Linked DNA regions of Oryzias latipes. Each later gene encodes a partner of the first gene's protein in a complex. Links are inferred from orthologs where the notes say so. Each region holds a gene or a part of one and is shown in the gene's direction. Other genes may lie near its edges. The genes, in order: nsun4; transcription termination factor 4, mitochondrial.

Region 1 (4,290 bases):
AATCAACCTATGAAGCATGTTTTTGGACAGTGGGAGGAAGCCGGAGATCCCGGAGAAAACCCACGCATGCACGGGGAGAACATGCAAACTCCACACAGAAAGGTCCCCCATTGATGTTGTCTTTTTCATGTCCCCCAGCCCGGACTTGAACCGGGGGCCTTCTTGCTGTGAGGCAAGAGTGCCAACCACTGCACCACCGTGCAGCCCGAGTAAATATAAATCAAATTGCTTAATTGTGGCAATAAGGAGGAGGAAGTGACTTAAAATTTGAGCGTGCATGAACGGATCGATTCATCCATTGTTTTTACAGTCTACAGGTTATAGGTCGTGTGGCCATCCCATAATAATTTCAAAACTTCCCTATGATATCCCTACACGTGTGTTTTGGTTTTGTTAATGTCTTTTAAAATAGGTTTTTGCACCACATTCATTTTTAGACGTTTTTTCCCAGCTGTAATGTCATCGCTTGTTGGGAGGGGTAGGGTCGTTCGCCATGCCTAGATTTCCCTCTCCCTGGGAACTGGGTGTGTACAGATTTTGAGAATGTGGTGGGGGTGAAATCTTTGCTCAAAGGCGCAATAAGAAAAAAGAACAATCTGGTCCTTGCAGTCTGGGACGGCAGCGGAACAGACTTAAACTACTTCATTTATGTATCTGATTTCTTAGCTTATAAATAAACTAAACAAGTATGAATATAATACTCAGTTTACATAATTTTCATACTTACCACCATTTCTTCCTCCTCCTCTTCTTCTTCTTCCTCCTCCTCTGCAGGTGCATCTTCCTCCTACATAAACACTAGTTTATCTATTGTGCTGAGTTTGATAAATCAAAGGACTGTAATTTTACAAATTAAGCCTCAAGAAAAGTATTTTACTCCTAACTTTTGTATACAATTTCTAACTGTCTCTACAGCAACATGCTAGTGCTTCTAGACACACTTATAGTATACAGTGGGAGTACGTGACTGAGTTGGGGTTGGGGCATGAAGCCGAACGTTACAGCTAAACTTACTCTGAGCAGCAGAGTTAGCTGACAAGCTTAAAACTTTAGCTTCTATAGTAACTCAAAATGGTGATTGATAGTACTTTTCATACCTCATCGTCCGGCTCTCCGTATGTAAGCATCTTCGTCTCAAATCCCATTTTTTTTTCCACCGGCGAACCTTCTCGAAAAGTCGGCGAATCAAACTCACGACTCGTCAATGTCCCTACTGGAGAAAGCAAGGTCGGTCACACGCCGGAAACTGCTCCGAATAAAAAAAAACTCACGCAAAATCACATTCTATTGGTTCAATTATGATTGACGTTTATGTTGTCCAATCATATTAGAGTTAAGCTTTGCCCTGGCCAATTGCTTTTTTTACGTGCAAGTGCGGAACTATGTTTTTTGTGAATCGACGGGAACGACGGAGCATAAACCGGGTTGGACCGAAGCATGGCCTTGTTTCTACCGAGCAGCAGGCTTCTGCTCAGAAAAACGACAGATGTAAGGTTTTTGACGCCCCGGAGGAACCGAGTCAAAGAGAAATGGGTACATTTAAAAACCTTTAATACAAAAAGCCGTTTGTAATGTTTGTTTAATTCTATTTAAAGAAAGTGCAAATAGAAAGTCTATAATAATTTTGATTTTACGACATAAGAGAACTATTGTTTTACTCAGCACCCACTGAAAATAAAGATTTAAGCTAATAATTATTATTTACCACCTGCTTGTTAAAATGTGTGTTATACATTACCTCAGGTTCATTTTTTTCCTTCTATTTAAAAAAAAGTATATTTATAAATTTACTGTGGGTGGGAAACTTTTTTGTTTACATTTAATGAATAAAATAATAAAATAGTATAGTTTTATTACCTTTTAGATTTACGTTATTAGACAAATACAAAACTGCTACAAATAAATAAACAAAACAGAACAGTTAAATTGTAAAAAAAAAAAAATAACATTTGTTTTGCTCTTTTTAGGCTGCGACACGTGTCAAACACCCACCCACCAGGCTGGCCCTGCAGCATTTTGACGCCACCTATGGTACCCAGCTGGGGGAGCTGTGGCCCTCAGTGCGAGTCGCCCTGTTGACAGAGAAGAAGTATGGCGCCCTGCTCAATAATTTCTCCTTTGATGTTGACGTTGGTATAACTGATCTCCAAGCCCAGAGATGTAGAGACTTCATCAGTGAAAGACATGGAGGGGGTATGTTTTGGTTCACAGCATTTGCAGTGATGTTGCTGATTATTTTCTGTGTAAAAGGTCAGAGGTCAGTTGCTACATTCTTTGTCTCTGTAGCTGAACCATCGGAGATTGGTGCTAAGAAGCAAACCAGTGGTGCTGATGGTAATGATCAACAATTGTCTCCTCCACCACTCAGCCCAAATATCAAGTGCTATGTGTTTCCAAGAGGTGATGTCACTCGATTTAAGCCTGCCAGGTGAGCAAACGTCTGAATTTTTTTTTCTGAAGGTCACTGCAGTTTGATCTTCTGGTATCTTTTACTTAAGACCAGATAGCCACGGCCTGTTGGGCTACTACCTCATGGATGCAGCGTCTGTGTTGCCATGTTTGGCGCTTGATGTTCAGGAAGGTCACACTGTGCTTGATCTGTGTGCTGCTCCAGGCGGAAAGACCCTGGCTTTACTTCAGACTCAGCTCGTGAGTGAGTGATCACTCATTTCTCTTAAACATCTTTCTTGGTCTCTCTCTGACTTCTAGTTTTCCTAATTTCTCTCCACGTTGTGTTTACCCAACAGGGTTTTTGTGTGTAAACGATGCCTCGACTTCTAGAACATCACGGCTGAGGAAAGTCCTCCACAGCTATGTTCCTAAACAGTTTCTGACAGATGAGCGAGTCCGCATCAGCTCGTTTGATGGCACCACATGGGGGGAGATTGAGAAAAACACATTTGACAGAGTAAGGCCCCACCACCAAAAAAAAACATTTATTTTGACCTTTCGGAAATTCCTGACCTGATCAGGTACTTTTGTTTTTGAGTTCAGGTCCTTGTTGATGTTCCGTGCACCACAGACCGGCATTCACTTATGGAGGATGACAACAATATATTCAGTAAAAGCAGGACTGGAGAGAGACGAAGGCTGCCACAGCTACAGGCGGAGCTGCTCCTGTAAGTTTGATTCACAGAAGTCATAGATTGGACACATTTGTACAAAAGTTTTTATTTTTGTGATTTATTATTTATTTTCCCACAAAGTTAGAGGAATATTTGTCAAACTTGTAAGGAATTACAGAAGTGGGATGCACTTTTTAAGTGCTTTATTTGTTTGCTTGAAGAAAGAACACTTTAATTTATTCTTCTTTCTGGTTGAAATTTAAATTTCCCGTATATTTTCTAGATTCTACAGTTAAAAACGTTAAATATAGAAAAATATTTCAATTAAACTTGTAATGGATGAGACTTTATTCTTAATCCTCATTTGATTTTTTTAAAGCTCTTTCCTCTATGTGCAGCTAGATAAAGTGTTGAAAATATTGGTCTAAAAAGTTTGTTAGTTCCAAATTTCATAATTACACTGTAGTTAGTGTCAGTAAATGTGGCCTTGAGGTTTATAATTTTGAGTAATACTTTGACAGAGACACAATGCTGCGTTGTTATTTTTTAAAGGGTACGAATGAACACAGCAGGTAAATTTCTTTAAATAATACAAACCAAATAAATCTACTCTGTAGCTTTGAGGGGTCAACTTACTGCTATGAAGAACAATGTGCTCCAAGAACAATCACTGTTAGAAAAAAGCTCATCAACGCAGGAGTATAAGGGAGTATTCGGACCATTTTACAAAAAAGGTTTTTATTAATTGCGTCGTAAGTCGTAGATTTACGAGAAAATTTAAATATTTTGAGAATAAAGTTGTAAATTTATGACTTTTTCTTGTAAATGTATGTCTTTTTTAAAGTTGTAAATTTATTACTTTAAATTTCTTACATTTACGACTTCAAAAAAAGGAAAATTTATGAGAGGAAAGTCAGATTTATGAGACAAGTTGTAAGAAAGTAATATTTCCCACTTTTAAAGTCAGAGGCTAAATCTATGGCTTTTTTTCTTCTAAATTTGTGTTTTTAAAATTGGAAAAAAAAAATTTGTTCAGTGAATTAATGAGAAAAAAAGCCTTAAATAATGAGAACATAAACACCAAGTTGTCTGTTTATTGAAGCCGTGCTGGAAGATGAAAGACCTGGAGGATTTTGTGAAGCTTTATTTACGTGAATATACGTTCCAGATGGTGATATTTATGTGAAATTAACACAGATGTATCACGAATAAACCACGTCAAACC
Region 2 (4,155 bases), about 9.5 Mb from region 1:
TAAAGGTGTTTCTTCGGTGGAATTGATCCCAAGAGTAATAGCTCAACTGTTAAGGCTGATCCACCCCAAACTCAAATATTTGCATGGATTTGGGTTCATGCATTGTTGCTTGCATGTATATTTCAGCCCCACCCCTATAGTTTCTGCTAGAATGAGATCTGAACTCGCCAAACAAATCTCCTTTTTGGTTTTATCCGAACTCCAACCTTAGTACAGTTACATTTACCTGACATCATCACCCTTCCCTCCTCTGAGCATATCCAAGCCATCTCAATTTCTTTGCCTGCATTTTTCTTCAAAACATCTAACATTATCTTTTCCTCCGATGTTTTTATTCCTGATCCTATCCATCCTGGTCCCTTCCAAAGAGAACCTCAACATTTTCAGCTGTGTCTCTTTTACCTTTCCTTTCATTCTTGCTGACATTCTTTAGACAAACTTCATACCTAAAACCTTCCTCCACTCATTCCAACCTGCTTCCTCAAGCCTTTTCACCTCTTTCCCAAAATCTGTTGTCCTGAACAACTCCAACGTACTTTTTTGCCACTTCAGACTTCCTTATTAAAACCAGTGACTTCTGAACTAAGTCGTGCTCCATAACAGGCGCCTCTTCCACTCTGCTTTCTCTAATTTTCCTCATTTATCAGATCTTCAAAGTTCCTCTTCCATCTTTCCATCACACTTGAGGAACCTGTCAACACACTTTAATCTCAGTCCTTGATCCCCAAAACTAGCTGCACATTCTTTCATCTCTGTTTCTCTGCCTTGTCAACCTGTATAAACCCACCTATCCATCCGTTGTGCCCAACCTGTCTTATAAGTCTTCATATGCCCTTTGTTTGGCTTCTGCCACCTTCCCCTACTGCTGCATTTCATGTTTTTTGTCTGCTGTCTTCTGTCCTCTCAGTGTCCCACTTTTCTTTTCTTCTTTTTTTATTCACAGTAGGATAGAACATCTTAAAAAAACTTTAAGATGTTCTAAAAGCATTAAAAAGCATTTCTCTCTTTCCAGATCGTCTCTTGAAAAATAGGATATCATCCTTTTTTCTTCCTTTGCAACATCTCAAACAAACTAGTTTTCCCTGTTAACAAACTTCCATTTAGTTTCTACTCTACACGGCTGTTTCTCCTTTACTGTTTACCTATGACCATGCCTCCCTCCTTCCCTTTGACCAACAACAGTCTATTCATGGTCACATATGATTTTCCTTTGACCAACAACAGTCTATTCATGGTCGCATATCTGATTTGCCTTGGGTTTTTGTCAGAAGCTCCTCCTGACCCCAACCCTCAGCATGTACCTGAACATGGGACTGGCACACCAAAGCAATGGATTTGACTTTGTATTAGTAGCCACAAATGGCTCAGCAATAAATTATTTTATCAAATCAGTTTATATTTTTAAATGACCTCCCTTTTTTCCATACTCGTTTTATTTGACTAATTTTTAAATACAAGCATAAACTAGAACTAAAACGAACGGAACCTTTCAATGTATTGCTGTAGTTTCTAGACGGAACAGAATATGCCACGGACAAGCATGGGTATGCGAATTGCTGCTAGGCAGGTGATTGAAGGTTTATGTGTATACAACTTTAAATATATTTACGGTGCAGGTTAAGTTTATTCCCAAGTATACCGTGTTAATTTATTGAATGATAAAAATAAAAGTGTTGACAGATCCTCTCCTTTTTTTAAAATAACCTTCTCTTGTTTGCCTAACTCTCTGTACTGGCATGTCCTTTTATTATTTCTTATTAACTTGTTTATTTTTGAATCCAGCTGTTAGTGAACCAATTTACGATAAAACATTGCTTTGATTTGCAGATATTTTACTGGACTTGTAGGGATTCGTCCTTCGTGTTTAGTCTTCCCCACGCCAGGATACATCATCTCCCGTGTCTGCGCTTTGGAACCAGAGGGCTGTGCTCTTCCTCAGATCATTTTCAGTCAAATCAGCGACCCCATGAACCACCTCCATGGACAGCAAAGCCGGTTTCCGAGCTGTCCCCGCGCTCTCTGGTTGACATGGGCTGCACAGACTCACAGGCTGAGGAAATATACCAATGTGTGTGCAGCATCAGAGGAGAAGGAGCTGCCAGACATGCTTTATCAACACTTACAGCCCTTTTTGTCCTGGGTCTTAATTCCTCCAGTGTGGTGAAAGTGCTTAACAAATGTCCTGAACTATGTAGTGTCAAAGAGGTACAGCTTCAGCAGAGAATAAGCAACCTGCGGAAGCTGGGATTACTGGAAGGTGAGTATGATCATGTATCATAAGATCACACAAAAAAGAGCAAATGCTGCACTTAACCAGCTCAAACCCCCTATTTTACCTGTTTCTCACATAGGGAGTCTTCAGAGAGTTGTGGTCCACTACCCTAAAATACTGACTGTGCCTGTGAAGTCAGTCAAAAATGTGGTGCTCTTTCTCAAAGAGAAGTGCCTTTTTACAACGCAGCAGGTCACAGACATCCTCAGAGACAGTCCAGCCGTGGTACTGGAGGACAAGAATCAACTGGAGTACAAGTTTCAGGTCAGCAAACAAGATGATCTGTATATTTATACATGTTAAAATAAAATACTAATGATCAAAAACAACTGGTAAACCTGTCACATATAACACTGGTCTGGGAGGAGTTGTTCCTCTGACTGAAATACAGTACAACAATGCAGATTTATTAACTTCCTCAAAGCACCAATTAAAATTTATGACCCGCAGCAGTAAAATTGTAAAATGCAGCTAGTTTTTGTTTGTTTGTTTGTTTGTTTTTTGTCTGGTGTGTGAAGAATGGTGAACCTTGCCATTTAAATCTTCGTGTTAGTCCGTATTTTGTTTTAAAAGATTTTTTTGTGTTGAAGAAATTCTCCCTGCTTGTTATTTATACCAGCATATGTTAACCCATCTGTCCACAGTATGTTTACTTCAGAATGGGAGTCAAACAGACAGATATGGTGAAGTGCAAGATGTTTCGTTTCACTCTCGATGAGCTGCGCTGTCGACACCTTTTTCTTGAGCGGCGAGGCCTGTACCAGACCCCAGATAAGAAGGGACAGACGACCATCATCAACCCCAAACTGGCCAGCATCCTCGATGTGGACCAGGACACCTTCGTCACAAGTGTTGCCCGGGCATCTGCAGAAGAATATGATGTGTTTCAGAAACTTGTGGCAAGAGAGTGGAAGGAGGAGGGGTTACAGGGCAAAATAGAAGCTGATAGTGATGCTGAAGAAGATGAGGGGGAGGAGGAGGAGATTGGTGGAAGAAATGGATATAGAAAGACAAAAAAGAAATAACAGTTTAAGACAAAAAATGAAATGGAGAAGGAATACAATTTTATGAAAAGCAAAAAGGAAGTTTTCTAAAAAAAAAAAAAAAAACAAGGATACAATTGTGCTGTTTTATAAGCAGATAATAAAAATTTTATCTTAACCAAACATGCAGCATTGCTTCTCAGCCTCTTCTATTTAATTAGGATCTATTTGATGTGGAGTTGACTTTTTTGTGTTTATTTAAGTGTTGTCATCGGGATGCTGGTGTGAGACAGAGTTAAATGACGGTAAGCTGACATTATTTCAGAGTTCTGATCATTTAGATACCAGCTAAAATTGATTTCTAGTTGCAACTTTTTTGCCAAGTTATAAACAGAACAGATATGAAACTCAATTTAGGTCAATAAAAAACACTAACAAAAAAGAAAAATGCATAAAGAGCTTTAGCTTCCCCTTTTTTTAAAATTTAGATTTAAACTAAAAATTGCAAACCGGTAAAAACAACACCGTATTGAGCACTTACAATGGTAAAAGCTCCACCCTGTTGCTATGTGATACCCAAGTGCCTGTAGCTTTTTGCATCTATAAGTTATCACTGAGTCAACAAAGAGTACATCAGATAAGGACATGGAATGAGAGAAGTCATACACAAACCATTGATTTATGCTGCAGTGGGTGGTTTTCCGTATTGGACGCAAGGTAAGGTTGTTTGGATCTGTCAACAGCTTTTACTCGATATTTTTTTGTTTTAGCTTTCTATTAAAGTGAGAGATTCTACATAAGCAGTAAGGATTCAGAGTAATAGCGTTATAAAGCCACTTCTGTTCTCAAAAATGATCATACAGAGAAAAAAAGTTTGTTAAATTTGAGAAGCTATCTTAT

What was found.
Region 2: the proteins of nsun4 (region 1) and transcription termination factor 4, mitochondrial are in contact, whole or in part, in a crystal structure (PDB 4FP9), measured with the Homo sapiens proteins. The link is inferred for Oryzias latipes from reciprocal best matches to the Homo sapiens genes NSUN4 and MTERF4. Residues at the interface, in NP_950245.2 of Homo sapiens: Pro61, Ser62, Arg64, Val65, Leu68, Ser69, Glu70, Arg136, Gly137, Asp138, Ile139, Arg141, Asn367, Leu368, Met369; in NP_872307.2 of Homo sapiens: Tyr267, Glu269, Arg270, Leu271, Gly272, Arg273, Glu311, Glu312, Val315, Phe316, Lys318, Leu319, Arg322, Glu323, Glu326.

Annotation. Positions count from the first base shown.
Region 1 is NC_019875.2:13,892,285-13,896,574, reverse strand, and holds the start of nsun4 (5-methylcytosine rRNA methyltransferase NSUN4), read left to right. Parts: upstream 1-1,394; 5' UTR 1,395-1,437; coding exon 1,438-1,533; intron 1,534-1,967; coding exon 1,968-2,193; intron 2,194-2,286; coding exon 2,287-2,428; intron 2,429-2,498; coding exon 2,499-2,653; intron 2,654-2,747; coding exon 2,748-2,908; intron 2,909-2,994; coding exon 2,995-3,119; intron 3,120-4,290. Other genes in the region: cytochrome b-c1 complex subunit 6, mitochondrial, read right to left, coding at 728-787, 1,098-1,145. UniProt on the Homo sapiens protein: Mitochondrial RNA cytosine C(5)-methyltransferase that methylates cytosine to 5-methylcytosine (m5C) in various RNAs, such as rRNAs, mRNAs and some long non-coding RNAs (lncRNAs).
Region 2 is NC_019875.2:23,369,785-23,373,939, reverse strand, and holds transcription termination factor 4, mitochondrial, read left to right. Parts: upstream 1-1,439; 5' UTR 1,440-1,525; coding exon 1,526-1,567; intron 1,568-1,827; coding exon 1,828-2,257; intron 2,258-2,351; coding exon 2,352-2,536; intron 2,537-2,916; coding exon 2,917-3,297; 3' UTR 3,298-3,444; downstream 3,445-4,155. UniProt on the Homo sapiens protein: Regulator of mitochondrial ribosome biogenesis and translation. Binds to mitochondrial ribosomal RNAs 16S, 12S and 7S and targets NSUN4 RNA methyltransferase to the mitochondrial large ribosomal subunit (39S).